Lepisosteus oculatus: one gene and its partners. The protein of the gene in region 1 purifies or fractionates together with the protein of each later gene. This does not show direct contact. Links are inferred from orthologs where the notes say so. Each region holds a gene or a part of one and is shown in the gene's direction. Other genes may lie near its edges.

Region 1 (7,935 bases):
GTTTTGTCATGCTACTCGTTTTAAAGCACTGCTCAATAATTATGGAAGCACTTTCTTTTACTGAAGCAGGCAATGGCAGTGTCAGTAGTCATTGTTTTGTTGCATCACCAGTACAGACAAGTGAGCCAGTTACACTGCTGGTGTTAAGTGGTGTTGGCAGACCAACAGGTGACACTGTCTCAAGAAACTTTAGGATTAAACACATGATTGCAAATTCAAGGAAAGTCAATTTACCAGTTTCAGACACATAAATAAAACAAAACTTTAACTACACAACTATAATTGACTGCATGAGTCAGTACTCTGAAGAAAATTAAAAATCGCGTAGGCAGGGGCAGAAGAAAACTTAATTCTGAATGTTAATTTTCTCTGCTTGAAAGAAAAAGAGTAGTTATTGTTTTGATGCATCATCAATACAGAGAAGTCAGCCAGTTCCAGAAGCAGCCACGCTGACTTCAATGGCAGTGGAACAGACTACTTCCTTGATCAAGTGACAAATCTGCAGCACCAGTCGTCACAAACAACAAAACCTCAAATTATTATTTTAAGGAAACAAATACGCTATTAACAAACACCATTAGCAACCCAGACACATTGGTGAACCTTTAAATATACTTTTTAAAGTGCACATGACTTTAAATTGCACATGGTGTGGTCTTTCCACAACCTTTGAAGATTGATAACAATATCCTGTTTAATGGACTAAGGGGCACTAGTCATGTAGTAATAATACACGACATTGAAAGATTTTGTTTTAGGATGTGAACTAAATTAGACTGTTTGAAGTACGCCTCATCCATTTCCCCTAACCACATTCTTACATGTCCTTGCAAACATTTTGCTTGCTAGACTACAAGAAAATGTCTTAATAATCATTACTTTACCCTTTTGGTCTCAGCAGTGACGAGCACAGTTTTACCTCGAGTAAAGTACAGGTGACTTCTGACAGCTCCTTCACTCTTGGCAGTTCAATGACATCGGTCTGTGTGGAGGCGTCTCTTCCAAAGTAACCGTATCTCAGTTGATTTCCCAATGAGTACCTTTAAACGCGTGTTGTTAATGAAAAAATAAATACATTAATGTGACAGTTAACACATCTTACAATGTTTGGTGTTTGGAGTAGTGGTCAGGGGAGGGTCAGTGGTCCAGCTCGTAACTGGAAGGTTGACATCCCATTTGACACACTGGTGTTGGACCGAGATATTTCACCTGAGACTCTCCAGCAGAATATCCAGTTATAATAATTATTATAATAATAATAATAATTTCTTACACTTATATAGCGCTTTTCTGGACACTCAAAGCGCTTTACAGGTAATGGGGATCCCCTCCACCACCACCAGTGTGCAGCTCCACCTGGATGATGCGACGGCAGCCATAGTGCGCCAGAACGCTCCCCACACACCAGCTCTCAGTGGGGAGGAGAGCAGAGTGATGAAGTCAATTCATAGATGGGGATTATTAGGAGGCCATGATTAGTAAGGGCCAATGGGAAACTTGCCAGGACACCGGGGTAACGCCCCTACTCTTTTCGAGAAACACCCTGGAATTTTTAAAGACCACAGAGAGTCAGGACCTCGGTTTTACGTCTCATCCGAACGATGGTGCCTGTTTACAGTATAGTGTCCCCATCACTGGGGCATTAGGACCCACATGGACCACAGGGTGAGCACCCCCTGCTGGCCCCACTAACACCTCTTCCAGCAGCAGCCTTAGTTTTTCCCAGGAGGTCTCCCATCCAGGTACTGACCAGGCTCACACCTGCTGAGCTTCAGTGGGCTGCCAGGTGTAAGTTGCAGGGTGATATCTACAACTATCCTACAAAGTTAAAGCCTACACGTTATAAACCTGATGCGATATGTAACCTATCACAGCTATGATACTTGTAGTGCATGGAACAAAAAAATAATCATTTGTATTGCATGTAGGTTTAATATTATTTAAAATATTCTGTTATTAATGTAAAAACCAAATAAAAAATAATCTGAACTGAACCCGAAGGCACAACATCACTTTGCGAGGCGGTAGGGGGGGGTTGTTTTTATTTTAACCCGACTGCCGGCAGAAATAGCGCGGACAACAGAAAAAAAAAGACTGAAACCCATCAAAACCCATTCAGTACCAAAGATTTATACCTCTCGATATCCCGAAGTTCTGAGGAATACAGTCTCTCCTCCTGCTCCTCGGAGTTTCCCTGCACAAGCACGTCCATGTTACCGGCGTGATCGACACGGGGGCGCCGCTTGCGTCGGTTTCCATAGCGACGGATCTCGCCCGCTCGGCGGTCAAGACCCGGATAGAGTTGAAGGAAGCGATGGGCACGGACAGTTTGCCTTATTTCCTTCAGGATTATTATCGGTATAAACACAAGTTTCAAGCTGCTGTTTGTAAAAAAAAACCCCACACCGTCATGTAGTCAGATCAGATCGCTGTACGCTGACCATTTACGTTTGTGCAAAGCCGGTGGTGTTAAGGGAGGAAAGGCGCAGTGTGCTCTTTGACACACTTTCTCATTCGGGCTCCCATTTGGGACTGAAACGGAAAAACCTCTGAGAATAAATGCTTATTTGAAATGCATTAAGGAATAAGGAATACAAATGAACGCGTAAAAAGTTATATAAAAAATAATAAAAACCGTAACATCACTATACTGTACTTGATAGGGATCCCTATGAATAAAAGGGATTTCAGAAATGGGGCAGTCTAGTCAAAAGTGCTAGAAGGTTGTTTGAATAATTCAGTAATAATGAAGCATTTACAATAGGGAATAAAAACCCATCCTTCACAATACAAATGGTATAATATACTCTATTGTTCAGCAGAACTGTGGTGACAGTTTTAAAATGTTTTCTACTTCTGCGCTGCTTCCTTTGTCTAACGAACTCCTGTGAATTTAGAGCATTTTCATAATTAAAATGATAACAACGATTCGACTGACAAAGTGGGTGAAGTTGCTGGCGTTGTTACCTCACAGCCCAGGGCTGCCTGGGGTGCAGTTTGTGGGGAGTCTGTATGTTCTGCCTGTGTGGGTTTTCGCCGGGCGCTCCGTTTTCCTCCCACACTCATGGGGGAACTCGACCCTGCTGTGGGTGTGTGTGTATCTGTGTTTGTGTGTGTGTGCCCTGCAATCGGCTGGCCCAGGCACTGGCGTCACGCCCAGGGTGTTTTATCGCCTTGCGCCCTTTGCTTGCTGAGATCCTAAATTGGATGGAAACGTTAGCAAATTGATGGGTGGACTTAACGAGGTCTTCCCAAAATCCAGCGTGACACCAGTCTTTATTTTGCAAATGCAAAATGAAGCATACTGACTGCAGATGGGCAAGGCATACAGTACCATCCAGCCGACAAGCGCAAGGCTATGGTTTTCGGAAAGTGTTTTACATCACTTGGTACATTCGAAACAAAAAAAAAAGGAAAACTGTCAACATAAAGAACTGCAAAGGGCTGTGTTATAAGGCAATACAGGACCGCACTGTAGTCCTTAGTTTGATCATGACGTGAGCAGATGCTGAATGTCTTCCCTCTGAGACACCCATGAGAAATAATGCGTCACATCCCGTCGCCCATCATCTTCTATAGACGTGTGGATGCACATGCCGTTCAGAGCGAAGATGGCCCATCGGTGACGGCAGTGTCTTTTAAAGCGCGGCTTTAGCCAAAAGGTTGTGGAAACACTACGCGCATTACTATGGCCATGCTCACTACTTCACAAGGGGGGAACGCCCACCCCCGTCAGCGTGGGATATTTTGCCAAAAGGCTGGTGTCAGTCTCTGCGCGCTTCCCCTCCGTGAAGCCCGCAAGCCGGCGTAAATAAAAATAAAAAATAAAAGCCAATAAGATCGCGGTAGAGGCGGAACTTCCTGATTTCCTCCCCCCCCAACACCACCTCCCTTGAGGTCAGCGCAGTGTGTTTAGTAACTTACGCGTAATGGTTTTCCGTCAGTGCTGGCGAGGGTCTGGCATTCCAGCGCACTGACGCCACAGGCTTTAGGGGGGTAAACAGAGCTCCAGCCGAGCGCAGTCCCCAAAGTGTCCCGTGACACATCAAATAGTTCCCATTCCAGCTGCACAGTCAGCAGCCGGGGCAGGCGCCCGGGGGGACTCTGTTATAAGAGGATATGAAGAGAGCCGGGGTCCGGTTACATTGTTCCGGGCTATAATTAGCGGAGCTCAGCGCTGACGCAAGATGGCTAAAGTTGGATCTTCTGTGTGTGACAGCGGGAATTAGGATCAGGAGCGCCGCAGGAATAACTTCACGGCCCGGACTGCGATGAGTGATGACACTGGCTATTTTTGAGCGGCGGGATCATCGCGTGTGGCTACCTGGGACCTCGGCGTTTCATATATAAAGGGTGCGCGGTTGGGAAAAAAATGCAGCTCTACAGCAGCGCGTTGACACATTACCCCGGGTCGTCCTGCAAAGTTTCGATTCCCATTGCAAATATTGACGGTAACGCGCCAGCGACTGCGACTGCAAACACCGTTGCCGCGAGTAACGCTGATTATCAAATTCCTGCACACGGAGTGGAGGAGACGGGGGCTACGACTGCGCCTGCCGCGAAGATGCCTGCCTTTTCCTGTTATGAACCAGTTCCCAGCTCGGCGAGCAAGCCGAGCTACTACACTTCCACCGCTCAGATCCTGGTTACCAAGCCCGGTGGGGTGGAGAGGTTCGTGCCAGTCCAGATTATGAAGGACTCCCGACGTGGCGCAGTAGACCTCTCCGGAACATACTTCGCTAGTCCGGCAAGCTCGCCGGTTCTGGACGCGAAGGGCTCCTGCTCGCCCAGCGCCCTGTGGCTGGGGGACTTAATCGACACGATGAACGGCGAACTGGGCGCGCTGGACGAATACCAGAAGGTCCTGGAGCACAACATGATCAGCTTCGACAGGAAAGCGGACGGAAAGCGTTTCACGAAGGGCAGCGCCCTGAGTGGTCTGGACCACGAGTGGCACCAGAGCGCCTGCTCTCCGGGCGAGGGTCCCCACGACGCCGAGGCGCCCGACACGCTTTTGAACGACAGGGTGTCAAACGCCTGCGAGGATTTGGCGTCTCCAGAAGCTCGGCTTGTTGGCCGGCGTTGCCAGGAGAGCACGGAGCCCGCTGGCACAGACCTTGCCGGGGAAGCGCCAGGCGACAGCCTCCTTCAGCCCTCCGCCCCCGGCGTGGGGGGCAGCCGAGGTGAGAAGAACGAGCAGGTGGCACACTATCTCGCCGAGGTGGAGAAGCAGAACAAGTATCTCCAGGAGAGGGAAAAGTACAGGTTCCACGTCATACCCGACGGGAACTGCCTGTACAGGGCTGTGAGCAAAGCAGTGTACGGCAACCAGTCGGCGCACAAAGAGCTGCGGGAGCAGACGATGCACCACATCGCGGATCACCTGGACGAGTTCTGCCCCATCATCGAAGGCGACGTGGGCGAGTTCTTGATCAACGCCGCCCAGGACGGCGCCTGGGCTGGGTATCCGGAGCTGCTCGCCATGGGCCAGATGCTGAACATCAACATCCACCTCACTACCGGGGGCAGCGTGGAGAGCCCCACCGTGTCCACCATGGTCCACTACCTGGGCGACGAGGACCCCTCTAGGCCGAGCATCTGGCTAAGCTGGCTCAGCAACGGACACTACGACGCCTTATTTGACCGGCCCCTACCCAACCCGGAGTACGAGAGCTGGAGCAGGCAGGCGCAGGTCCAGAGGAAACGGGACGAAGAACTGGCCAAGTCTATGGCGGCGTCTCTGTCCAAAATGTACATCGAGCAGAATGGATCTACGTGACCTGCTCTTAGGGTTCCGAGATGGCGTACCGTACAATTGTGCGTTCTGTCCGAAACCGAAATGTATGTTTCTGAAATAGGGCACCTTAATCACAGTTTGATGGCACTTTAAAACGCATGCAACATGCCGTACAGAAATTGCCTTAATTTATTTTTTTCTAAACCGAATGTTTTTAATGCATTCACGTGGAGCTACTGAAGGTTGCGGTGCACCTGCGTGTTGTATAGATTTTTTTATCATTATTTTTGTATGGAAGTGCTGAATTTATATCCACAGGTCGGATTCCTTACGTTGTGCGTAGAGGTCGCAAAGAAAGAAGTTTACATTACTGTGTTACTAGTACCAGTCCAACTAGAGATAAAGCACAGGACTGAAGTTTGGGAAGAGAAAGAACAGTTTTTTGACAACTTATTTTTCAGGTGTGCGAAATTATATATGTGTACATTTATAAACTTTATACACTTAACCGCTGATTGGTAATTGCGTAATGAGTCTATTTAATTGCCTTTTTGTGTTTTGCTGGGTCGAACACTTGTTTTGCTGCAAGATCATTCTATTCCAGGCTGTTTGCTTGTCTTGAAAGCGCGGTATTTTGTATCGAAGATCTGAATCTTATTTTTTTAAATACTATTTTTTTTCTAAGTAGATTGCTGGATCGGAGACGTACCATTGTAAGACTGAAAGTTTTGTTTCGTGGTTGCATTATCATTTTGAAGTAAAGGTTTAATTTTTCTGGACGATTTAAGGTGTTTCGTTTTTACTATTTGTGCTGTTCATTTTGGGAGGATCGGTTTGTGATGTATTATTTTTAATGATAATAATGGCGGTAGGAGCACTTTCGACACCACCAACGTGAAAGCTGACAGGAATAATGCCAAGGTCATTACAATGTTGTGAAATATTACGAATGAGGTAAAACCAACTATTCCCACACAAGAGAAAATTCCAAATCTTCCACTTACTGATAAATGTCGGTATTGCCAAATATCAGGCTGTGTGGACAAAGCCTACTGTTTTCCAGACGTTGACTTTTATCAGTACTATGTTTTAGTTTTAAAATAGTTATGCATTGCATTTATCAATGAGTGATTATATTGCACCCTGACCTGAATATTGTAACGCAACGGGGGCTCAGGCGGGCGCCCTTGCCGCATCTGGTCGGCCCAAAGTATAGGTGGCTCGAACCCGGGACTTCCGCGTCTCTCTGCAGCGACCCAGCCCCGTGAGCTAAAGAGAGATCTCTCCACAGCCCAGTCGCTGTAGTCCTGCTATCACAGGGAAGGGCGGTGACGTCACCCGCTCTGGTACGCCGGCTCTTACACACAGTGCTTGTCGGCCGTAAGCATTACAATATGAAATCTAAGAACAACCAGCACAAGTTGGTTACCTGTTTTTCTTCTTGCTTTTTTGGTATCATAAAATGAAATTATAATAATAATAACAATAGTTGCTTACACTTATATAGCGCTTTTCTGGACACTCCACTCAAAGCGCTTTACAGGTAATGGGGATCCCCTCCACCACCACCAATGTGCAGCATCCACCTTATTGGAGCCCCCCCTAATTTAACTTCACTTCTATGTTGTGTAGGAGAGAAGGAATGTTCTACATTCTTTTTATTACATGTTTTATTGCAGTAGCAAGTTGATGGTGGAAAAGCAGTTGACAGTTTAAAAAAAATAAAGCTATTACTGCTCTTAAATGTTACGTATAGGCTTATAGTTTATGAAATGCTTGATTATGAAATGTCTGAATTTTGGCAGGGAGCTTGGGGGCAGTTTGTAGATTTTTAAAATGTTTTTGTTTGTTTTTGGTGTTTGTGATTTAAGAATATATTCTTTTCATTCCTAGAATTCCTCTAAGCTCCCCCTTCAGTTCGTGACTTCATGTAGTCAGAATGAGCAAAACAACTCCTGATGAAATAGTTGGGTCATAAACCAGTTAAGGGCCAAGATAATTCTCTTTTTTTTTCAAGCAGCGTTGATACAACATTCAGAATAAGTTTTCTTCTGCCCCTGCCTACATGGTTCTTAGTTGTCTTCAGAATACTGACTCATGCAGTCAATTATAGACGTGTAGTTAAAATTGTTTTATTTCTGTATCTGAAACTGGTAAATTGACTTTCCTTGAATTGGTAGTAATGCGTTTAATCCTAA
Region 2 (8,049 bases), on another chromosome or scaffold:
CATGCACATTGTATTGCAAAAGACAAAGCGATTGAAGTAAGGGTGTGTCCAAGAACCCTTTGATTTTCTGCAACATGCAAAGAATTAGATTAATACGCATTACCGGTAGTGGCTCAATACCCTACTGAGTCTTCAATCCGATTTATTAGTTGTATAATTATGTTCCAAAAAGTCTACGCGGAGCAGCTTTGATGAATCTTTGAGAAAACAAAAAGACAGCTGAACTGCAGGGCATGTTTTCGCACTGCCAAGACAAGAGGTGGATGTGCAAACCTCACAAGCCTTAATGTGGGTTATGCAAAGCAAGGACAGGCCGTTGCCTTGTTGCTGGAGTGAAATGAGAAGAGTTTTAACTGGGCATGCCCATTACCTAGGCATGAAATGGCCCGAGGCAGATCAGGGCAGCCATTCAAATACAGCCTAAATGTCAACTCTTCCATCACCAGCATATTGCTTGATTACACAGCAAAGACGCAGACGTGAAAGGCTCCGCTCCTGAAGCTCGAGATTTTAATCGCACAGTTCACCTGAGCTATATAGCTCTCTGGGTCCAGGTTCTGTTTACAAATTGCCAGATGTATAAGGGATTCACCTGGATAAATCAAGCCTAGGTAGTCCAAGACCAAACCCACGAACTAAGTTATGGTGGGCCCTCAGAATGGGCAGCAGGAGAGGGAGGTGTAGCAAAGACGACTCATTACACAAATGGGCAACACATGACTTTAAAACAAACCTCAAATATCACAACTGTTGGCCCCTCCTATCGCAACCCCAGACTTCCAGGCCGCTTTCAAAATCTCCAGTTGTCCATGTTCTTTCCCCATTCACCCACCCATTTTCTAACCATTTCATCCAACTCAGGGTTAAGGTGGCCCAGCGCCTGTCCTGGGAAGCAAGAGGCACAAGGCGGGATACACCCCAGACTGGGACAGCAGTCCATCGCAGGGCACACACAGACACAGACACACACTCACACCAGGACCAATCTTCCCTGAAGCCAATTAACCTACTGGAGCGCCTTCAGGACACCCACGTGAATGGGGGAGAACATTCAAATTCCACACAGACAGCACCCCAGGTCCAGAATTGAACCCAAGACCCCAGGGCTGTAGTGCCGGGAGGCAGCAGTGCTAACCTCTGCACCACCCCGCCACCCTCTTACCCTACGCAAAACACGGCAAATGACATTTCTTGAGGACAAGCTGGAAAAATCACTCTATAACAGGTCAGCCTGTCATAGGAAGCGGTCTTTGTGATTGTGAATTGTAGATCGTGTCATTAAACTCAAAACGATTGAACGGTTCTTGCAAATTAAAAAAAAAAACATTTGTAGACATTTCATAAACGGAAACACATGGCGCACTAGTGACGCCTTGTGGGCATCCTTTTTTCTACAAGTAGACGCTAGAATTGCAGGCGACTCTTTTTAAAACCAGCCGTTTTTAGTAAGATACATAAATTTGCAGGAAGCGTTGGCGTAGACGCGGAGCAACAGGTAAGAAAGCCTGATGGCCATGTATAAATACTGTCTGTACTCCTATGGAGGCTTACCATAGGTAACATCGACCCTGGAAGTCAAAGAGATAATTCCAGTCACGTTTCACTCATGATTGTTTTTATCCAGGAACAGGCCAGAGGCTACCTTCCCACAGACCAGAGATTTAGGACAGATACTGGATCCTGAATCTGGGACTCCATAACACAAAATCCCAAAGGCCCGATACATTCCTGTTTCAACTCGCCAGCAGCCATATCACCCTGCAACCCACTGAAACTCAGCAGGTGTGAGCCTGGTCAGCACCCGGATGGCAGACTCCTGGGAAAGCTAAGGTTGTTCCTGAAAGAGGTGTTAGGGGGGGCAGTAGGGGGCGCTCACCCTGTGGTCTATAAGGTCACTTTATTGGCCATATACAATTTCTTGCATTAGGAATTTATCTTTTCGCATACCCAACTTGCTCTACATGAGACACACAGACAGGGAGAGAAGGTTGGGGTCAGAGCGCAGGGTCAGCCATTTGTACGGTGCCCCTGGAGCAGCTTGGGTTAAGGGTCTTGCTCAGGAGCCCAACGGAGTAGGATTCCTCTGCTGGCTATCCCGGATATGTGGGTCCTGATGCCCTAGTATAGTGATGGGGACACTATACTGTAGAAAGGCACTGTCCTTTGGATGAGACGCAAACCGAGGTCCTGACTCTCTGTGGTCCCAGGGTGTTTCTCGAGAAGAGTAGGGGTGTTATCTTGGTGTCCTGGCCAAAATTCCCATTGGCCTTTACCAATCATGGCCTCCTAATAATCCCCATCTATGAACTGGCTTCATCACTCTGCTCTCCTCCCCAATGATAGCTGGTGTGTGGTGAGTGTACCGGTGCGCTATGGTCCCCATTACCTAAAACGTGCTTGGAGTGGAGGGTCCAGAAAGTGCTATATAAGTGTAAGTAACTCAAAAGGGAGATTTTCCACACAGCGTTACCTATTCCTACACACTCCACTACTGACAAGACAGGGTCTGTTCTGATCTGGCCTGGTCTGTACCTCCTCTGCAGTCACTGCCCTGCAGGTTATATGGTGAACAGGTGGATGCTGCACATCGGTGGTGGTGGAGGGGAGTCCCCATTACCTGTAAAGCGCTTTGAGTGGAGTGCCCAGAAAAGCGCTATATAAGTGTGAGCAATTATTATTATAACTACAACCCTTCAATAGCAGACTGTTATGAAAATGAATGAAATCAATCAACGATTCAGTTAAAGCTTCTGTACATCCCGGAATTCCTCTCTCTAATTCTCCGGACCCACACATTATTTAACGTGATCAGACCGTCTTCCAAAAAAAAAAAAATTGCATTCTGGAGGCCATTTTTAAAAGACGCTTAAATGCAAGCGTGTGTCACTTCATATGTCTGAGCCCTTGGCAATCCCAGAATCCTTGCCAGGAACGGGCTGCATCACTGAAGATTATGCCCACCCCTGTGTCAGCATGTCACAGCCTTAGCTCTAAAGCAGAGGAGTCCAGTCTCAAACCCAGGGGGACCACTGTGTCTTTAGCGGGGATTCCCAGTCTTAGTCTTGGGGACCCTCACAGGTCAACCCCGATTTGAACCAATTGCTTGGCATGGGTTTTTTTTTCTGACTAAAGGTGGATCTTAAGTTACTTACAAAACAGAATAGCTGAAAGGCAACTTACAACATGTTTATGAACAGAAAACAATGGAAGTGTTCAAATTAAACGTATAATTGGGTCTATTAAGCCACCTGCACACTTTGATTGAGTGTGCAGGTGGAACAGAAACCAGCAGGTATGGGGGTGCCCTGGACCAGGACTGGGGACCCCTGATCTATAGAGCTTCATTCTAGCTCTAGCTTAATTTGATTTGTGCTGCGTGGCTGCTGGGACATAATGACTAAGGTGTTAGTGGGGCCAGCAGGGGGCGCTCACTCTGCAGTCTATGTCGGTCCTAATGCCCCACTATAGTGACAGGGACACTATACTGTAAAAAGGCGCTGTCCTTCGGATGAGACATAAAACCGGGGTCCTGACTCTCTGTGGTCAATAAGAGTCCCAGGGTGTTTCTCGAAAAGAGTAGGGGTGTTACCCTGGCATCCTGGCCGAATTTCCCCTTGGCTTTTACCAATCATGGCCTCCTAATAATCCCCATCTATGAACTGGCTTCATTACTCTGTTCTCCTCCCCACTGATAGCTGTATGCCTGCCGTTGCATCATCCAGGTGGGGCTGTGCAGTGGTGGTGGTGGAGGGGATCCCCATTACCTGTAAAGCGCTTTGGGTGGAGTGTCCAGAAAAGTACTATGTAAGCGTAAGCAATTATTACTAATAATTATTACTGTGTGTCACCCAGATGCATCCAGCACTCCAGGGCATGAAATAATAATAAACCTATATAGAGCCCTAAAAGAATCTTCTCAAAGTGCTTAACGGTCAAAGTAAACAAAACACCAGTTACAACACAAGAACAGTAACAGGAAAACTGCAAACTCAGTAGCCTTCCAGGACCATGAGTGGACACGCGTGCTCGAAAGCAGTGGTCCACGGCTCTGGTCACGTGTCACCCTACCCAATACCTGCTGGTCTTCAATCGCTTAACTGATCTCACATCACAGCAATATAAGCAATATTCGACATTTTCTTCTCCTGCAAAGACAATGTTTTCAAGTTACTCGCAGATTTTGTGATGAAAAAAAAATCTGACATATCCAGGACTGAAAACAATCCAAAAAGGTCCAATTGATAAGAAACTAAAATCTGGGGTTCGATTAAATGATCGCGAGCTAAGATCAACTGCGGAAGACAGAAGAATAGACAGTAATTCGCAATTGATCATTCAAAACCGCTGGTGTAATATTATCTTCTGTTTTGCGTCTTAAAACCGCAACTGTCACACGTACAGTACGCACTTAGACAAATACAACACTCCCTGTCAGCAATATATACACTGTATTTTTAATAAAGTGTTAGTTTTGCCATTTGAATAAGACAAATCGATGACGGCATCTGCTGGGCACAGCATACGAATGGCAATAAATTACTTCAAGGGGAGTTCCTGTTTTGACGCAGGTATACAATAATGGCAGCACAGAATTAAAAACAAAATACAGAGTAACGAAAGCGTATGCAGTCACTACGTGGTGGAAGGTAGAGATGTTTGGCACACGATCACGGATGACTGATCCATAAAGGGGCTGTTATTCTCTCCAACCAAAGACAGATCTGAACAGTTGTATAGCGCACTGCATTCATGTAATCTGGACCAGGCTAGGCTGAGTGCCAGGGCTGAGGGCATTTCTATATTTCCCCTTTCCTTCTGTATTATTTTCCTGGTCCTCTTCCGTAAGAGTCTCTCTCCCTTTCTGCCAACATGAGGTAGCCCCAGTTGTTAGCGGTGGGGCTCTTATTTTGGCACAGCGAGAAGGTCCGTACAATGCTTAGTCATGGTGAGTTACGTCTTCCCTCAACCCCCCCTTCTTGCCCGCCCCCCCCTTTTTTCCTCTAAATTCACGGCAAACACTGAGCAGCGATAGAAATGTACGTCTTGTGCTACAAAAGATTTCTGTAAGTAACCACCGCCTGTATCGAGCGAAGGCGTCTTTTAACGCGGTTTGCGATTTGAATGTTTTTCCTGATGTATCGGGCTTTTTGTTCTCGGTGACTAAAGCATGTTATCATCATAGACACGCTTGCTTTGCGAGCCGCGATAAACAGCTTACAGTAGCAGAACACAGATGGTGTCAGAAGAGCCTGCGAATACTTAATCAACAAAGCAATACTTGCTTGTGAGCTAATTAATTACTGGAGTTTTTTCTGTTTTAGTTTGGTGCATGAAAAACGAAAAATATGAATACCGATTCCACAGCATTGCTGTGGAAATATTACTCTAATGTAGTATAGTAAGCGCTATGCATCATCGCTGATGTCTTTTTTACGTGTTTGTGACTGTCAGTTGGTTATGCAACAGGATGACAAAACTACAGGGCTGATCGCTTTTTTTTATACTGCTTAAAGTACTGTAGCGTCCAGAGAAGTGTTGTTTGCGCTCTGGTACAGTTTGTAATCAGTAGTGTCTCTCTCTTCGCTAACTGGTCATGGAAAGGTGAGTCACTAAGGGGGGGAAGGGATTTTATGCAAAAAATAATTGCAGTTTGTTTTTCGATCCGCTTCTATGCTTTAAGAAACGGTGCATTTTTTTATCCAAACCTTCTTAAAAGTGTTTTGGCTCGGCTAGATGTGTAGCCCATACAAAATAGACCATTACGTAACAAAGTGTAAGTGACAGTGTTAACTTTAGTGGCTTCGATCATATTTAAGTAGCTTCTGGAACCGCAGACTAACGTGCGTTTTTATACATTAACTCCTATTAGATGCGAGGAGACATTTGCACTCTCATTTTGTGGTGTAGACACAAATTAAAATATTTTAAAGGTCCATTTGAGCCGCTTTTACTGCTGTATGTTAACTCATTCAACTCATCCATCGGATGTTTTCTGTGTGGGAAAACCATTATCTACACGATAAGTAAATAAGTTATTTTCCATAGTCCATAGTCCCAGATTATGGAAGAGACCCTTTGCGTTCGTTTTCAGAGTTTAGTTAATTTTACATCGAAAGAGGAAACGGTTATTAAAATATTACTGTACTTTGACCGAAACTTTCAATTTGTGTTCCACCTTTTCAGTGTTAAGCTTGGTCTCGATTCATATCTCTTACATATGAATATAACACTCGATGACGGGTTTTAATTACCGGAACATTAAAAATAAACGCGAGGCGTGTCACTGTTCCCTTGTTTGCAGCAGTGTTTTTCATTTACCGGGGGACGCGTGTTTTCTCAAGCGAAGTCGGTATCGCGGGGTGGGGTAACAAATCTCTACTCTAGTCCGGGGATTCTAGGCCATTATTGCAAGGTAACCCTGTGTATTATCCTGTTTAATATTATAAGTAACCACATGCAACACTCATATTAGCGAGACGTTAAAAATAAAGGCCAGGTTTGCTGTATAGACTACGGTTAAATAATATAAAGACTTACACCAGACTGGCTGTAACGCGAACATTTGTTGACCTGGTTTTGTAAACCTGACCGTGGCACTATAACCTATCATCGCCTTAAGTTTTAGACCTTTACAGGTATATGTTATGGTGCATAAAGCTCCCGCTTGTGAAGAAGAAAAACAAAAAATATTCCAGCGCACCGAGTCCATTTTTTAACCACTGAAGTCTTTTTTTTATGCTTGTTCTTCCAAATTCTTTATGCGCCGCACACCAATGCTTATTTCATACACAGAAGTCTTACACAATCACACGCCTCTTATTTTTTCAGTTTTCTAGAGATGACGAAGCTGTACACTACCTGATTCCTTATATCCGGCCCAACTATTGGAATTAGAAAGTTGCAGGTCATGTTGAACGATGTTGCTTTTAATATAAATTAAATGAGAAGGGAGGACTGGGTCATGTTTACGTGACCCACTGACAGCCCACTGTATTTCCCAGTGCCTCCCACAGTCTAAGACACGAGTGGATCACGCTAACAGCTAATTACACGAACGCACGTTTTATTTTCACGTGAAAACACTTGGCTTTTTAAATGTGTATATATATTTGTGACTTGGCAAGTTTTGAAAGCCCTATTCATGTTAACGAATCATTACACATCTCATTTATTTTATGCAATCTATTTTTTCTCAAGCCATTAAGAGCTGAGGTATAATGAAAAAACATTTTTTTTGACACTTCAGGACCTGGAGTGCTGATCACTGCCCAAACAATTGTATCTTCACAGCTGTAAGCTCTCAAAGGACTGATATAAATTACATACACCTGCTCACTTTCATGCCAAACAAGCTTAATTACTTAATTGAATCCTTAATCGAACTCACAAGGTGATTGGTTGAAATACTTGCCAGCCCATTCCTCCTCTCCCATTTCTTTGCAGTTGTATAGCTTGTCCTGACTTGGAAGGTCCAATTTTAGATGTCCTATTTACTAGATGAAGAGAAGATTAATAAATGAGAGTTCTTAACTGAACTATGGGAGGAAAGGCAACACTCTGTGCCACAGCTGTTCTAAATCATAATCATTCTCAACATCAGTTCTTGAAAGTTGTATATATCATAAGCAGACCCCACTTTTCACATTCATCTCTCTCCCGGGGGGGTCCCAGCATCCTTTTCCTGTGGCTGGGGGGCCAAGACAAATTTCTGTCCTAATTGTTCTGTCACATTCAGGGCCGCAGCAGAGCTGGAGCCTATCCCAGGAAGCAAAAGGCACAAGACGGGGTACATCCTTGAAGGGGGCCGGTCCATCACAGGGATAGGGCACACACAGACATAAAAATACACACACACCTGTGCAATTTGTGTAGAAATTGACCTACCAATTAAGGGCCAATTAAATTACCACTATGTCTGTGGACTGTGGGAGGAAACCCGGAGCAGAAACCCACATGAACAACATACAAGCTCCACACAGATAGCACCTGTCTGAAACAGGTGCTATCAGGTCTGGAACAGGACCTAGGACCTCAGAGCTGCAAGGCAGC
Region 3 (8,570 bases), on another chromosome or scaffold:
TGAATATGGGAAATATGCATTACACTTATATAGTTAATTAGACAATATTTCAATTAGAATAATGTTCATAGTCTCAGTCCATCTAAATACATAAAAATTTAAATCTAACTTAATCTTGTGAGGTTAGTTATACAACTGGACGTATGCAAAGCAGACCTGCAGTAAACTACAGTACCTACTAAATACTGTCATAAAGTGTTTCAACATTTCTTATGTGCAAGTTCTTGAGTTTCATTGGTGAACACAGATCTAGCTGTCCTGTGTTCCTAGCAAAAAAGAAATTTGCTGATAAGACTCTATAGATGTCAGAAGACTTTCTCAGTATAGCCTTTGACATGTTTTCAAGGAGTATATGGTCATCTCTGCACAGATACCAAGAAAGATAGTAAGTCAAGGATATAAATGAGGAATGATGAGCAATAGTTTCCTTGCACCAGTACTTCTGTATATCATTTACTGCTTACATATAACAAATGCTTGTTATATATAGTAGTTGTGCTAAATGTCATAGGTTCTTAGACAAGTTTTTAAGTATTCTCTACAGGAGTCTGTTTCTCAAATAAGTGAGTTCAATGAGCCACGATCAATACAAGTTGGATTTTGACTAATTTGGATGTGTGCTCACACAAGTTACACTTAACTGAGGACAGCTGATAAAATAAAAATTGAATGGATATGAATGGCGAACATCATCATGCCTTACTTAAATCTCTGCAGTAGCTTTATGTCAGTGAGGGTATAAAAAGTATAGCATATTGTTATGGAAGAGAAAAGGACAGAGATGTATCTAAAACGTTTTTTTTTATGACTGAAGACAAGGCAGTGGGCAGAAACTAAAATTATGAGAGATACAGATTACAGTACATTTACATTTTATGCCAATTTATAACTGTTAAATCATATAACAGATTTTATAATGAATCCCAATGTGAAATAATCACAATTATATATGTTTATTTAGCTGATACAGGCAGAATCAGGTATAAAAATTTGAAATAAATTGACTGAATATCATTGGATTAGTTCTTAGAATGACTGATATGGAATCAAGATTTGCTGTGCAATGTCTTGATAGCAAATTAATTAGTGTCAGTGAGATGCAGTGCCAGATGCTCAGTTAGCTTTTAAAGCATGATGAGTTTCTTTAAAGCAAGAAAAACTGAGACAAAACCTAGTGTTCTTACGCTATCCAATGAAGGGGCCTAAGATGTGCATGACTGCTGAAATACTTTGCCGTAATAAGTGAATCTGACATTATAATGAACCCACCCAACCATATTGTTCTGCAGTATTCCAAATCCTGTCTAGATACTGTAGCTGAAGCACTGCCAGTTTATGCTTTTTTTCTTACTTTTTATGCTTTGATATTAATAGTAAATACAATAAATAAAATTGAACAAGTAATAGGTGAACACCTTATTCCATGCTGAAAAGAGAATAAAGAAAACACAACGTTTTAGCTGTGGAGCCTTCTTTGGGTGTGAAAATTGCTTTATATTTCTTTATATTTTAATAAAATTGTTTTAGATTTCTTATTTTGATCAAAATCCTTAAATCGAATACGGATTGTAGAATAAAAGCTGATTATTGGCTTTCACAATAATCTATCCAGGTAACCCTCACATCAGGAATGTTCCAGAAATAAGAAATGCAGCATTGCCGGAATAATTGTTTCAGGATTATTTTAAACAAAGCTGATTTTTTTAAAGGTCATTAATTTTGAAGGTTTGAATCCTGGATCCTTTGGATCCTAGCCCTCATCTGCTGCAGTCTGAGAAATTCCTATTACTGTAGCCTGTTTGCAGTTTACCCACATCACAGTAATTGGGTATGACATCTGTAAGGGGTCATATGTTTCCATTCCCAACAGGATCCTGTGGTTCCTATGACAAAGTGAATAGCTGGGTGAGATCACTCAGCCATGGGGTCGGGAGGCAGGATACAGAGTCTTTCTGGGTTTGGTTTCATATCTGATATTTACTACTGATTGAGATCCCCAAGTGGGCAGCATGCACAGTAAGTGTGGCTGTTAGCACTGCTGCCTTGCAGCTCCAGTCTTCTGGATTTGATTCTGGCCCCTAGGCTTCCTTATTTGTGGAGTTTCCATGTTCTCTCTCTGTATGTGTGGATTTCCTCCAGGTGCCCCAGATTCCTCGCAGCCTCCAGAGACATTCTGGATTGACTGCAGTAAAGTCTTTTTCTGAGACTACTCATGCTCTGTCATTCTTTCAGAATTCTTTCAAAATGCCCTCAATTATTTCCTTTGTGGATCTGGAATGGACTGGTGTCCCACTCCTATAGCTTGCCACAACTCTCACCAAGATCAGTAGGTTTCAGTTAATTAGGGACAACTACATCCAAGCATTACCTGTATATGCTTTGTGAATGTTTGGTTTGATTTGGTGAGATCCAGTAGGTGTGGCTAGACCCACTTGGTTAATGTTGCTGCCCATGTTTATAGTCCTTGAGATCTTGGCCCTATCCTTGGCACTAAAATTATTGTCCAGGGTTCAGTCCTAGTGGAGATGTTAAAAGAGAGCATGCTCTCTGCCAGACTAGTGTAGGCCAACTCTAGGATGTCTATTTGTACATACAAGCGCCTCAGCCTTCTCAAGAGATATAATTTCTTCATGACTTTTTATAAACGTACTCTGTGTTGTCTAGGAACTTTAGCTTATTATCAATATACTGTATGTACTCAGATATTTAAAACAGGGAGCAATCTCCACAAGCTGACCATTTTTATGCATCAGCTGTGTAGCTGGCTCAAACCTCCTTGATTGTAGTACTAATTAGTTTGTGCTCAAGATGTTTATTTCCTAAATAAACTGGCACCAGTTAATAAGAATTAATACTTTGTCATAGAAGAGTGTTTGGTCTGGCCTTTCACTTCCCTGCAGAAGGTCAAACAAGGCCATGTTGTCAGCGTATTTAAACAAGTTAAAAACATCATCATTGCTCTGCATTTAATTTGTGTGGATCAAAAACTACACTGGTGATAAAACACATCCTTATGGATCTCCATTCACAAGAATCATTTCCCCAGAGAGTATGCCATTCATAACAATCCTGCAAGGATCCTACAGAGTTCTAAGGGGTATGTTCTCAGGATTTCATGCAATATACATTTATACCGGTTTATTGGAATTACTTAATTTTATTTCCATAAAATTCAGTAGTAGCGGAAGATGATCTTTAATACCAAACCTGCAAGTATCCTTCTAGAACCATATTGTTTCATTATATTGTTGAGCATACAACCTTATTATTGCCATCGCGATTGGTACAGTGACTTGGGATAAAAGGTTATTCAGTGTTTAGGCAGGCTGTGAACAAACGCCATTGTCTGTTTTGCTGTTAAGGAGGTTTTGTTGTTTATTTTTTTTTACTCTAATAGGTTTAACAACAGTCATCTGCTGTACAGAGGGTCCCAGACAGGGGTCCAGAAGGAACTAGAAGGGAAACCTATGTCTGTTGCTGTTTAGCTTTGCATTTTTATTTATTTAGACAAAATGTAACATTTGATTGGCTTTATTTACAAATATATCGTAGCTGATACGTTGTTTCTTTCTCCTTTTCAGCGTGGAATTAACCTTTACTTGTTTCTTTACAGCGACTTCAAACGCCCTACTTGAACTTATACGGATTGTTATTTTTTCCAAAATGCAGCAACGCTGTTTTTATTTTTACGTACAGATTTTAAGTTACACACAGCATGGCTTTCACAAAAGAATAGATCAAAAGGCAATTCCTTATTACTGTTCAGAACCGTTAAATGTAGAAATCGTAAAGTATTTTAAAAGTGTGAAATACTCTATTTCCCGTCTAACGTTTGAATAAAAAATATACAGTAGGTCGTGGTTAAGAACACAAGGGATCGATAAGTCCTCATGTTGTATGAGTATCCTTTTCCTCGTGTGAAGATCAAGTTTATAGACCTATAGAACAAGTGTTATCCGTTAAATCAGATGTTACTGGTAAACAATGTGTAGGACTCACATTCGATTTCAAGCTTGTTAAGTTATATTTTCAAAGTTCAATTCCAATATCTAAAGTTATCTTGTTTTGTAATAAATTTTTTCCCACCCGAAATAAACAAATGCTAATATTGTAGTAATGAGCGAATTAAAATAAGTATATTCTAACACGATTCGTAAATCCACCATTTGATTCAGGCTCTCGCGTTACTTAAACTATGATGCTGTATGCTTTCACAGGCATGCCTTTCAAATGTTCTAATAATTACACAGGCTGTATCAGGAGTACACCATTTGAAATGTATTATACATCCTTGCTAGAAAAGTTTTATGTCTTTCATAGTAAGAATTTTTTTTGTGGTTCTTACTCACGCTCAATAAAAATCTCATGACCTTTCTCTTTAGAAATTGCCGAGACATCAAGTGAAAGAACATACAACAGTAGTAATTCACCAGTAAAAGTTGTCAGATCCCATCTTTGTTTATTAAAGAGAAATTTTTCACTATGAGGCGACACATAGTTGCGGGCCTATGTATTGTGCTAACGTCAGAGGTTAATAATTGGAGAAACCCTGCTCTAAAGACGAGGTATGACCTCATACCTAATGTTAAAAAGAAAGGGAGGTCGAGACAACCTATTGAGAAGTGGTCTCTCCTGTGTTATCCTTCCCGTAGTCAAGAATAGAATATGAGTCCAACTCAGCTGCTGGGTATCTACTCGTCTTAATTTATGTGACTTACTCCGCAGAGAGACACTAATAATAAACGACCTTGTAATGTAGACTTGTGAGCACAGTTAAGTAGACGTCGAGCCCTACGCAAAATACATGATATATGATCAAACACAACCTGTAACATTAAATGCAGTAGGTTTCGCAGTGTACCTAGCCGTCATTTTCCTTTCCTAGCTCAATTATAAACCTTTGATGACCACCCACTCACTTACACACTGTCACAACCCAAAAAACTCCAGCCAGCCCCCGAAATCCTGATTTGGAGCGGCTAAAAATAAAGTTAGTTGTCACTACCGCGGCGGCACATGGGGGCTAGCCAATCATTGCCCCTGCTATCCTTAGTGTCCAATCCTGTTACATATTATTATCTCCGTAGGATTAGAAAAATACCCATCCTTTAGTTGTATATGGTCATGGCAGAGACATTCCGGAGAATCCTTCCCTCTGACGTTGTAAAGGGGTCTCAGATCTTTTTAAACCCCTGTCCTGTCTGTTCCTCCATTTAGTCACACAAGTTAACAAGCTTCTCTTAACGCAGCTCTGCTGATTTCTTAATACTCCTCGCCAGGAGCAGCTTTCTTCTTCTTCTTCTTCTTCTTTTTAATATACTCCTGCTCTAATCTATAGTGTCTATTAAGAACTAGCTAACACATTTCTCACAATATTGCCAATTAAAAAGGGGGACTGCCTGCCTTCCAAACGAAAACCGGATTCCTTAATTTATCATTCTGCTGACAGTTCTGCTTGGTTTGACAAGCCCAACCATTTTAACAAGTAGCTCTGAAAAAAAAAAACTAGTTTTTGGAACTTTTCAGAGCGCGCGCGCCTGGCACTGCCCTGCCAAACTTTTTTTTTTCCTGTTTCTCCCCTGCGTGCAGTAGATTTCACACTGGCCTCATTGATTGCGGTATAAAAAGGGGTCACGGAGACCGAAACCATGATGAGCAATAATACTTACTACGAGCAGCAGCCTCAGTACTACCAGGGCACCAACAACGGGGAAGAGCAGGAGGAGATGCCCGCCACGGAAAAGGACCTGGCGGAGGATGCACCCTGGAAGAAAATCCAGCAGAACACCTTCACCAGGTGGTGCAACGAGCATCTGAAATGTGTCAACAAAAGGATCAACGATCTACAGAAAGATCTCAGCGATGGGCTGAAACTTATCGGTCTGCTGGAGGTTTTAAGTCAAAAGAAAATGTACAGAAAATACCACTCCAGACCCAACTTCAGGCAGATGAAACTGGAAAATGTCTCGGTGGCACTGGAATTCCTAGACAGAGAACACATCAAGCTGGTATCTATAGGTAAGCGATATGTAGTCACTTTTCCGAAGCTTCGGTAAAACTGCTTTGGTTTGCAGAGTTCACACAAAAGAAAGTTGACATTTTTGTTCCTGCGGGAAAGTTCATTGGAAGAGAGTTAGAGGGCGTCCTTGAGTCATAGAATACAATTTAATTTCTTTATTGGAAATGTGTTTGTCCTTAACACACCCACTATTTATTTTAAGAGATACATTTAGTTTAAATGTTCAAATCAATATCAGGAGGCTCATTTAATAACGTACTCATTTAATTGTAATAGCCCATTTTATAAGCCAAGATTGACATGCTCATTAAAACAAAGTTGAGCAAGTGTTGGACACAGTACGTGCATTAACATCGCACCACCTTGAAACATTCCACTCGCTTTTGACGCAATTAATGTATTAGTAAAGTGGCATTAAATCAAAACTTCTATATACTGTGGATATAATGCAAATACATGAACATTTTTTTAATTCACTGAAATATGACTGTATAATGGATTACATAGGATGCCCTGGTGTATGAAAACTTCATAAATAAATTATCATAAAGAAAATGTCATCTTCTGGTAACACCTTAGGTTTATAAAACAGTGTCTAACTGTGTCGTTTGTGTATAAAATTAAAATGTGACCAAAATATTTTGTCATTTATTCTTTAGTTTTTTTCAGCTTATTAATTACTACAGCTTATTATTTTTGGGGGGATATACTTAATTTGCTAAAAGTTAACACATTCGTCTGTGACGAATACCTGTGAGAAATTGTGGAAGATTTGCGACTGAGGATTTTAAAACTTTTCAGAAACATAAAAAATGCTCAACATGACTCCAATTATGCTACGACACAAAAGTAAAATTATGACTATTTTAGACGGCGGGTACTTTAGAAAATGCAGAAAAAATATGTTGTTATTTATGTTGTTGTTGCTTTATATAGTATTGAGGTATTAAATTCCAGCATTTAATTGACATTTACTGTAAGATAAAGGTTTTCATTTTTTGTAAGTGTGTTTTTGTGGCCTTTTTACGTATTAGCACACCCTCAATTTGAATGGTTTATTTTATTAATTATGGACAACGTACCATTGTTTTGCACAAAGTATAGGAAAAGTAATATAAAAGGTAAACTATTAACATGTTTCCTTTCATTAGCAGAACGGTTCCTTTCGCCTTAGGAGCATGCTTAGGTACTCGTTTTTTTCAACCAACAGTTATTTGTCTTTTGCTAGCTTTTTATTTGAATTAAATTTTCTAACAATTTGTTAATGGACTAAGTATAAATATTCGTAGAATAGTCCCCGGCATCTCCTGTGAAAAATAACTGTAGCCTTTGCGCCCAATAAAGATGTTCTTTGTTTCCAGTCTTGTTCGGATCCCCTTTTGACAGTTTTAGTTAGTCATTTTTTTGTGATTTTTACTGAGATCACGAAAGAATACAATTCAATAAGAAAATTCAAATTTTCTTATTCCAGCTTGGATATATTGCTGACTTCTGACATTTTCTGTATATCATCTGCTACATTACATGCTGTAGAAAAAACCCTTCATACAGTACGTGGGAATAAAGAGAAACAAAAAGAATATGTAGTTCAGAAATATATAATTAAATCAGGTGTTGAAGAGACAGTTAATTACTTTCCTTCCCAAGGTATCCGAGTTAAGGTGGCTTTCTGTTAACGTTTAAGCTGGTCTTTAATGACACTTGTCCGTAGAAATGTTGGTTTTGTGGAATTTGAACTGAAACCAAAACAGGAATCTCTTAGGTCAAAGTTGTATTTTTCGTTCGGCACAATTTATCGTAAAGTCTTTCATTGTGCACGTGCACTTAATGTTAAACCTGTTAAGTAATTAAATAACATCATTTTTTTTATTGGACATACTAAATGATCATCAGTGGAGAAGAAAAGGCAGGCAGAACCTTTCAACAATTAAAGCTGCACTTTAAAGCAAAATGAACCTATGTACTGTAGCAACTTGGTGGTTAAGCAACACTGCTAACTGCCTCACAAGTCTTGGGTGCAAAGTTTGATTCTAGTCTGCAGCACCTTCCACAGGGAGTTTGCATGTTCTAGCCACATGGACTTTCTCCAGGAGCTCCAATTTCCTTCCACAGTTCACAGACATGCCGTCTAGGTTGTGTGGCCTCTCTAAGTTAAATGCATGTGTGTTCCCTGTGGTGAACTTGCGTCCTTTCCAAAGCTGATCCTGCTATTCACCCTGGGTTAGGCTTTGGCTCACTGTGATGCTGTACTGGACAAAGTAGTTATTAAAAATGGATAGGTGGATGTAGTACAGTTTTTTATGTGCTCTGCAATCGATTATAGTCTGCAATATATTTGTACTGTACGAAACATATAATATCATTTGAGTGCCTTTGCTTAATGGATATCATGCTGTTTTGAAGCCCATGACCTAAAAGCTAAAAGCTTTAGTTAAACTATAAGCTTTGGTTTTCCTATAACAAAACTTTGCAGCTGTGTTAGGTCAGCTGTAAAGTGTGTGACTATGCTACAACATTGAAGTACCAGTGGAAAATTTCAGTATAAAAAAAA
Region 4 (8,376 bases), on another chromosome or scaffold:
TCAGGTTTGTCACAGCATTTACGTATGAAAATATGACTTGTAAAAAGTATCTGCAAAATCCAGGGTCCACACCCAGTTTTTTTGTGTGTGTGGAGCTCAGTATCACATGAAGAACCCAGATGAGTGTGGCTTGCACATCACAGAGTGAGAGAAAGAGAACGAATCTAGTACTAGATCAGAGACTTTCTTATTGTCGCTTAAAAGGAAAACTCAAAAACTGAATATTTTCCATCCAAGATCTGATGTCTAATACTCACTGAATTATTTCTACCTTAATGGCTTTATCTCAGTTCTTAGTGTTTTAAGTTGTATTATCTCAAATAAGCTTGATTTATAATCCTAAATGCATTATTTTTGTATAATGAAAAAAACGGAAGAAAAATAAATCTTTTTGTTATGACTCATTGTTTTGTGTATGGTTTTCATTTTATTATTTTAAATATGTGCTGCATGATTTATGAAGGAAATGAAAATGAAACTTAAATTTCAAAATGGTTTTTGGACACCATTTTATTTAAATGAATATCTCTATTTAATTCAGTTATGGTCCAACTATTTGATAGTGATACAATTTATATTCACCATGTGCATACAGTACCTTTCATTTAGAGCTTTGGAGCACATTTAGTAAATTGCTTTGTTTCCCAGTCCTTATTTTTTCTCTTTCCCAACATGCTGATGCTGATGCTGAAATATAAATATAATAAAATAATGTAAACAATAGAATCCACAGCCAAAACATTGCCTTTCCTTTCTTTTCTTTTCAGCATGGAATAAACCTTTTACTTGTTCCTAATATAGTTTACTTACTCATTGTAATGAAACAAATTGAAAGGCACAATTCAGAAGTATTATTGACATTTGATTTATTAAATGGCAATAATTTAATAAAATATATTTTTGCAGGTTTGTGGCTAATATATAAACGTAATACAGCATTTTTCCATACAATCCTGTGGGTGTACCCTACCTTTGCTTTGTTTCAGTCTAAACTGAAGAGACTTCTGCTATCTCTTTGACTTTAACCTGCTATTTTAGAACCATAGATATTTATCCTAGCCTTGCCCCTTCTGATCTTCATATAGCTATCCATCATACAGTATGTGTTTTCTTTATTGTGACCTCAATGCACATTCATAAGCACCCTGTAATGCCTGGTCTTTCAAGCATTTTGACCTTCTTTTATAAATATTGTAACATTCCATGTAGTTACATAGTATACACTGCACAGAAATGGAGAATTCCTCAACACCTGTACTTTCTATATGCCTTCCTTTTGTACTTGGGGAGACACCCGGTTCAATAAGATATTCTCAATACTGACCAGAATGTAACAGACTCACAAAGATCGGGAGAAAAGCTTTCACTTCTATCCTGAAATCTAATAACCATTAGATTATCTTAAGAGCTATCGACCCATCTCACTACTGTGAATCACATACAAATTTTGGGGTACTTCCTGAACACAACAGAAAATACAATGCATTCTATTTCTTAGAATACGAATGAACTGGACATTGTGATCAGAACCACTGGGATAACATCATTCCTATATATCCATCCATTTTTAGAAAATCACTTAATTCTGGTAAGTCAGAGCCTTAGTACTAAAGTAGTCTAAAGTCTGTTTAAAGCACACTGCTGCCCACTTTTCTGTCACTCTTCCTGTGCAACTGCAGCTAGCTGGAAAATGTTTGTCACTCACAGTTGTCTCATGTTGATTAAATGAAAGTGAAAGTTCTGTTGGTATCAAGACAGGAGAAAATAATGGTCACTATACGACTTTGACAGAGATTCCTTCAAATTATAACTCTATTAGTCTATGGTTTTGCAACATCCTGCTGAAAAATGGACACTTGCAGATTTGCATGCAGGAATAAATTATTTGTTGGCTTAACTTTGTATCATTGACACAAATCTTGTTTTACAGATTTCCTTCTATATCTTCACACTTCCATCATTATGCATTATCTTCTGTCAGATCTGTGAAGGGTTAAACAGAGTTAATCTGTGAACAAAACATCAGCACCTCCACTCTCTCTGCAGCCAACGCTGACATTCTTTGGTACACAGAAGATGACATTTTAATTTCTCAATGTACTACCCATGAATGGACAAGTAGACCGATTATTTTCGTGAATATGGAAAGCTACAATCATTCAGCTGATTCTTTATTTATTTCTTCCTGGAATATCTTCTGTATCCAATGCAGTCTGAAAAGTATTATGCAGGAGGATGAGATGAGTGTAATGGTTCTGGGTAGGTATGGTGACCCTGTTTTCCAGGACATGGTCTGTCTCTCACACGGCCGGTTCCCTGGTGTCTCTGGACTAGTCTGCTGGTTGAGTTGCTCTCAAAGACAGACTAATTCAGTTATTCTAATAGCATCCACACAGTCTTTACTGCCCAAGCAGGGTACACTTGTATATTTCATGTTATTTTTATTTTGATAATTAAAATCATACCTATTGAATAACTATTAATACAGTTTCTTCATCAACTCATTTCTAGTGTTTTTATAAAATCCCATGATCCATGCTCATAATTTATCCATGGAACAATAATGCTCATTCTATACACCTTTCCCATGTTCACACTGTTTTAAAAAATAATATTATGCAGTAGATGCAACCAGTTATTGATGTCGGCTATTGATATGAACATTAAGACTGCTATATGATTGACTGATTTTTATATACAGTAGTGCATGTTTTCAGCACAAAAATGTAATTGTCACCCAGGGAAATAAATAATACCATAATTGTTGCCTGACATGATGTGACTATCTAAGCAAAGTTGCAGAAATTTGCATTGTTTGACATTTTGGTTAACATCAGGCTGTCAAGGTCAACTTACTGTATATATTTTAAGGTATTCCGGAATCATAATGCTTATTGATTTAAAATGTGATAAACAAACTAAACTAAAAAAATAAAGTAAATGAATTTCTGCAGGTAACATTTTTTTTCTCTTAAAGTTAATTTAAGTAACATTGGCAAGTCATACTTAAGTACACCTTGTAATTTGATGTAGCCAAGCTTTGAAGTATAGTGTTGTGTGACAGAGTATTCCCAGAGTATGAGGACTAAAGGGGAGATCAATTTGATGAGAAAGTTTTTTAGTTGAGTGCCGGAAAAAAACACTGTGCCACAACATAAGGCAGGAACGGTAAATCAATTTACAGAATATTCCAGACAATGAAGCAGAAAAGTGTTATGGATAATCATGTCCTAACTTTCTTATTTTTTATATTTTAATCAACTGGCATGTACATACAGTAAAAAGGTCCTATGCACTATGTCTGGAAGGAGTGGGTACTGTCACCATACAAATATTTTGGCGGCAGCAGGTTGGTTAGCAGTAGAGTTGGTGTAACAGAACCTCATTCTGCCTCCTTTCGCTCTGACAGTCATGCTTCCTGTGCAGATCTCCTTTCCCCTGCAGTCAGAAAACAGACATGTCTGTTGCTCAGGGTCAGTAATATTGTGTTGCATACAACCGCAACAGAATGGTACACAAGCTAGCTCCTGCATTACTTTACAGAGATACTTCGGATTCTCTGCTGTCACTTAATCTGAGTTGCAGACTGTCCTGGCCCTTTGAAAGAGAGGATTCCACTGACTCCCACAGATCTGCGACCCATAGTGCATTGCAAAACTACTCACCTGTTGAACGAGGAACACCTTTCGGTGTTAGAGTGTGTACTGTATGCAGCCACAATGAATGATAATAATGAATAATTGCTTACACTTACATAGCGCTTTTCTGGCCACACCACTCAAAGCGCTTTACAGGTAATGGGGACTCCCCTCCACCACCACCAGTGTGCAGCCCCACCTGGATGATGCGACGGCAGCCATAGTGCACCAGAACACTCACCACACATCAGCTATTAGTGGGGAGGAGAGCAGAGTAATGAAGCCAATTCACAGATGGGGATTATTAGGAGGGCCATGATTGGTAAGGGCCAATGGGAAATTTGGCCAGGACACCGGGGTTACACCCCTAATCTTTTTGAGAAACACCATGGGATTTTTAATGACCACCGAGAGCCAGGACCTCGGTTTAACGTCTTGGCTCAACGACGGCGCCTTTTTATAGTGTAGTGTCCCTGTCACTATACAGGGGCATTAGGACCCACATAGACCACAGGGTAAGCGCCCCCTGCTGGCCCCACTAACACCTCTTCCAGCAGCAACCTTAGCTTTCCCAGGAGGTCTCCCATCCAGGTACTGACCAGGCTCACACCTGCTGAGCTTCAGTGGGTTGCAGGGAGATATGTCTATGACTAATTAGGATTCTCACCTAAAATTTCCCTTAATCCAGCCATCCAAAAAATACCAAGTTCTAACTGTTTCATCCAGTTCAGGGTCACAAGGGAGCAGGTGTCTTTTCTGACAAGCAATGGGTAAAAGGCAGGTATACATCTTGAACTGGACATCAGTCCAATTGCAGGGCACACATAGACAGACACAAACACACACCACTGGACTGTGGGAGGAAACCAGAACACGGAGTAAAACCCCACATGAACACGGGAAGAACATACAAACTCCACACAGATAGCACCTCAGGTCTGGAATTAAACCCAGGGCACCAGCACTGCAAAGAAGTAATGCTAACCACTTTGCCACTATGCCACCATTTCTCTTAATTTCTAAAGTATCTTTCTTCAAAGAGTTTTTTCTTTCTGTCTGTCTTCCCCCCCCCCCCACACACATTTTATTCCAACATGAGCTACTCAAACTCGATGCAGTATACAAACTTCAGCCCACAAACGTCTCTAACATACTCTCTCACCCCGGGGCAGTCTGCAATTCTGCATGCTCTTGCAACACCTACGTGGCGGATGACCAAATGCCTGAGCTCACTTCTAAGCTAGAGAGAGGGAGTTCAAGTTGACCAAGGAGTGCCCTTCTTTAATGCAGTAAAACACTCACACAATGCTTTCTGACATCCCACAGGGCTAGAATGGATTTAAAGTTGTATATGAGAGCCGAACGGGGTGACATCATACCTTTAAAATCCAAAGGCGGGGTTCCACTCACGCGTCAGCTTTGCAGAACACACACACTCAAAAAGCCCTGTTCACATTTGATATTTTACCAATTAAGGATTTTAAATAGGACGCAAAGGGGAGAGAGAGCGAGAGAGAGAGAGGGAGAGAGTTAACGAGAGGGTGTCACTTCTGTTCTCCCGTCTGTCGAGGAATACGAACTCATTTCCCCAAGAGAAGCACTTGGGGAGGGAAGAACATTTCGTGCTATAACACAGAGCAACTTTTAACGCAAACCTGAAAGAGATTGTTCGGTGTGCCTCCGGTCGCTGAACCAATCGAATACAAAGCTAAAAAGAGTAAGTTTTGCAGCTTTTAACCACATATTTAGTAGCGGGCTTGTCAACGTTGCGCTTTAATTTTAAATTCACATTTTGGGAACTGCTTGTCTTACGTCTTACAGCGGCTATCGTAAGTAACGGCGCATCACAAGTCTAATGATTAGCAATTCTTTTACGTTCTGCCATTGTCAGAAATCTGTTTATGAGTAATTATATGGGACTGATTGATAAATTGCCAAAACAATCAAATAGTTATATGGGTCAAAATGGAAGGGCTTATATTTTAAATTGTAGGGTCTTATTAATCTGGTGTTGTGATTTGTCGTTGTTTGTAAAGAGTAATTATTCCTTATTTGATTTTTATCTTTGGAGTTTTGGAAGCAGTTGATTTGTGAAAAGCTGATGCTTTGTGTGCAATCTTTGTTTTATGACGATTAAATGTGCTCATGAAAGCTAAATAGAAAAATGTCAGCTACAAATGACAGTGCGCTTATACAAATTTGCATGATATGGTGCATTGCCATATCAATTGCACCGTAGGTTGCAATATAGATGTATTAAAATATTCCATGTGCACAATTGTTTATCTGGTCGTAATGTCATTATTATTAGTTGCTGTTGAAGTGGAGTGCATTTACAGGTGTCTTGTATCCTCCGCGCATAACATGATTTTAATGCATCAGTCATGTAATCTAATTAAAATCTCTTCACCAAATAAGGGAAACTATGAAAAAGTTTATGTATCTGCTTCTGCTAATCGGGAATATTGGATGTTGACGGTGGCGCCCACTAGTGGTAACAACCGTTTTTCAACATGAAATCAAGGAATATTTTATAAAAAAGAATGAACGTTATACTTTGAATGTTTGTGGCTTTTTATTACCATTTCAGTCTTAATGTAGACTTTTGGCCGTTTTTGTTATATATTCCTGACTGTTTTATATTGTTTGTGTGTCAGATCGTTTCAGGCATGGTTAGTACACAAACTACACCCCCCATTCCTCTAGATTAAATTCTGTGCATTAGTGCACCATATGCAAGTAAGTATCAGTTATTTATCTTTTTTCAGAAAAAAAAAACTGCTCATAGTGTATGTTATTGAATTTTCCAGGGCGGACTGTGTGAATTGACTGTGTTGGTTGGTGCAATTTTTCCAGATGTTTAATAAGTAAATAAAGTTCTGTGGGGCAGTTTAAAAATAAAAAAAACAATAATTTGCATTAAATGAGTGATAAGAGTAGAGATATGATTTGAAGTTCGCAATATGAAACACGTCTATAAAATGTTTTCAGTTAATTGTAGGCTGACAACGGCTAGGTGCAGTGTAATTTGAAAACAACAGTGTCCAAGTTGCAGAGAACAGTATGTCAACATGAAACGATGGTTAATATAAAAGTTGTTAAAAGAACTCATCACGCCCATGCCATGCCAGCCACAGTTAGAACGAAACTACAGGATGAGATGTTTTGGTAAACTCAAATCAGTGTGTTTCATTTCTGTGAGCCGAAGACAGGATATGTATCGTTTCCTTGCGGTTGAAGCTGCAAAAACTGGGTCACTGACTGTTTGTGGGGTGTATTTTTAAAATTCTTAAGAAGAGCATTTGGTGAAAATTTCTGCAGAAGAAACGCGTACTGAAAATAAAAGGGTGTGGTCCGTGTGTCGAGAGAGGTAGCGCGATGCAGAAAACTGCAGCGCCATAGCTATAACACGGTTACAGGTCGAGACGTGTGATATCGCTCAACATTACTGATATGCCCCATATTTTTCTACAGTACTGTGCTTCCGTTGGCTATGTCATGGCAGCACACATCACTCTTAAACTCCTGACACATTAGCTAGTAGTTATTATATACTTGCTATGGTAGAAATAAAAAAAAATCATGTTTGTGATAGAAACTATCACGGTATACCTACTGTACGCGTTTTTATGTCGGCTAGTAAGTGATACAATAAAAAAGATGTTAGATGCTATTCGGTCAACAGTTGTGTTTCAGTATAGATCTGATAGTAGCAAACTCTTCCGCGACTGTTGTTTGCTGAATTATGCCATAACGTGTTGTTGAACTACATTAACGTACGTCACAGTTCTGCGTACTTAATATACCGGTACCAACGATAAATCCATACTATTGTAATGATACATACCATTAAATTATTGGTTTAATTGGAATTTGCCCAGGGATATTGAATACGTTTCCTGCGCAACAAGACTTTCCTAATACTCGCGTTAAGTATGGGTGTAGAAATCCGCATAATGGTTTTGCCAGATATTTAAATTCGGGGGATACAGGATGTTGGGAAATCACATTCAGAGAAAATGCAATATCACTGCGGAATTCTGTGCAGGATTAGGCAGTTGTTTGAACGGGACTGCTCATATTCTCTTTCAACACTGTGGTAGAATGTCCTGAGACATAAAGACGAATAGCCCGCAGTGTGATCTGACGTAGAGTTTGGCTGTTGTCAAGGCGACAGGACTTCCGGAGTATTTGCAAAACTGGACAATGCACAGTGAAAATTATTAGCTTTAGTATTTGTTATAGGATGCCTTCAAAAGAACAACACAGTTAAACGAGACTAATTTGGAGCGCTGCCCCGAGAAACACAAGTTTGTAACAAAATATTATCCGAAGATTTGAGCCAATACAGCACCATCTGTTGCTGAAGTTGCTGTCAAGCCTCCAGGCGTCTTTTTTAAAAGAATTCCCGAGTGTCGGATTCATCAATAAGTCTCTGGGAACTTAGTTCCAGATCACTACTAGCTTCTCCTTGTAAAGAAATGCCCCTTGTTACATTCCTTCCATCTCATCTCGAAACCTCGATGTCTTGCTTTCACTGCCGAGAAGTACTACACTGAAGTATTAACTGTGACAATTTGGAATAATTAACGTTATCTCTTGTTTAAAGACGAAATGTCTGTTCCCACAATTGGGTTTATTTGCTAACTATAGCATAAGAAAATATTATGGGTTTGAAAGGTGATATTAAGTTGTAATACTTTTTGAGAGATTTAAGTAACAGGTTTAAACACTTTCA

Evidence for each region.
Region 2: the proteins of OTU domain-containing protein 1 (region 1) and keap1b purify together in Homo sapiens (affinity purification with western blotting; 3 studies listed by BioGRID, with this or other methods). This does not show direct contact. The link is inferred for Lepisosteus oculatus from reciprocal best matches to the Homo sapiens genes OTUD1 and KEAP1.
Region 3: the proteins of OTU domain-containing protein 1 (region 1) and flncb purify together in Homo sapiens (affinity purification with mass spectrometry; 3 studies listed by BioGRID and IntAct, with this or other methods). This does not show direct contact. The link is inferred for Lepisosteus oculatus from reciprocal best matches to the Homo sapiens genes OTUD1 and FLNC.
Region 4: the proteins of OTU domain-containing protein 1 (region 1) and flna purify together in Homo sapiens (affinity purification with mass spectrometry; 3 studies listed by BioGRID and IntAct, with this or other methods). This does not show direct contact. The link is inferred for Lepisosteus oculatus from reciprocal best matches to the Homo sapiens genes OTUD1 and FLNA.

Annotation. Positions count from the first base shown.
Region 1 is NC_090701.1:54,987,732-54,995,666, reverse strand, and holds the start of OTU domain-containing protein 1, read left to right. Parts: upstream 1-4,372; coding exon 4,373-5,779; 3' UTR 5,780-7,935. Other genes in the region: c6h10orf67 (uncharacterized protein C10orf67 homolog, mitochondrial), read right to left, coding at 920-1,040, 2,136-2,381, 3,925-4,046. UniProt on the Homo sapiens protein: Deubiquitinating enzyme that specifically hydrolyzes 'Lys-63'-linked polyubiquitin to monoubiquitin.
Region 2 is NC_090706.1:16,416,122-16,424,170, forward strand, and holds the start of keap1b (kelch-like ECH-associated protein 1B), read left to right. Parts: upstream 1-4,956; 5' UTR 4,957-5,063; intron 5,064-5,496; exon of another isoform or gene 5,497-5,601; intron 5,602-6,858; exon of another isoform or gene 6,859-6,902; intron 6,903-8,049. UniProt on the Homo sapiens protein: Substrate-specific adapter of a BCR (BTB-CUL3-RBX1) E3 ubiquitin ligase complex that regulates the response to oxidative stress by targeting NFE2L2/NRF2 for ubiquitination.
Region 3 is NC_090702.1:40,730,280-40,738,849, reverse strand, and holds the start of flncb (filamin-C), read left to right. Parts: upstream 1-5,204; 5' UTR 5,205-5,648; coding exon 5,649-6,018; intron 6,019-8,570.
Region 4 is NC_090697.1:66,961,898-66,970,273, reverse strand, and holds the start of flna (filamin-A), read left to right. Parts: upstream 1-5,117; 5' UTR 5,118-5,355; intron 5,356-8,376. UniProt on the Homo sapiens protein: Promotes orthogonal branching of actin filaments and links actin filaments to membrane glycoproteins. Anchors various transmembrane proteins to the actin cytoskeleton and serves as a scaffold for a wide range of cytoplasmic signaling proteins.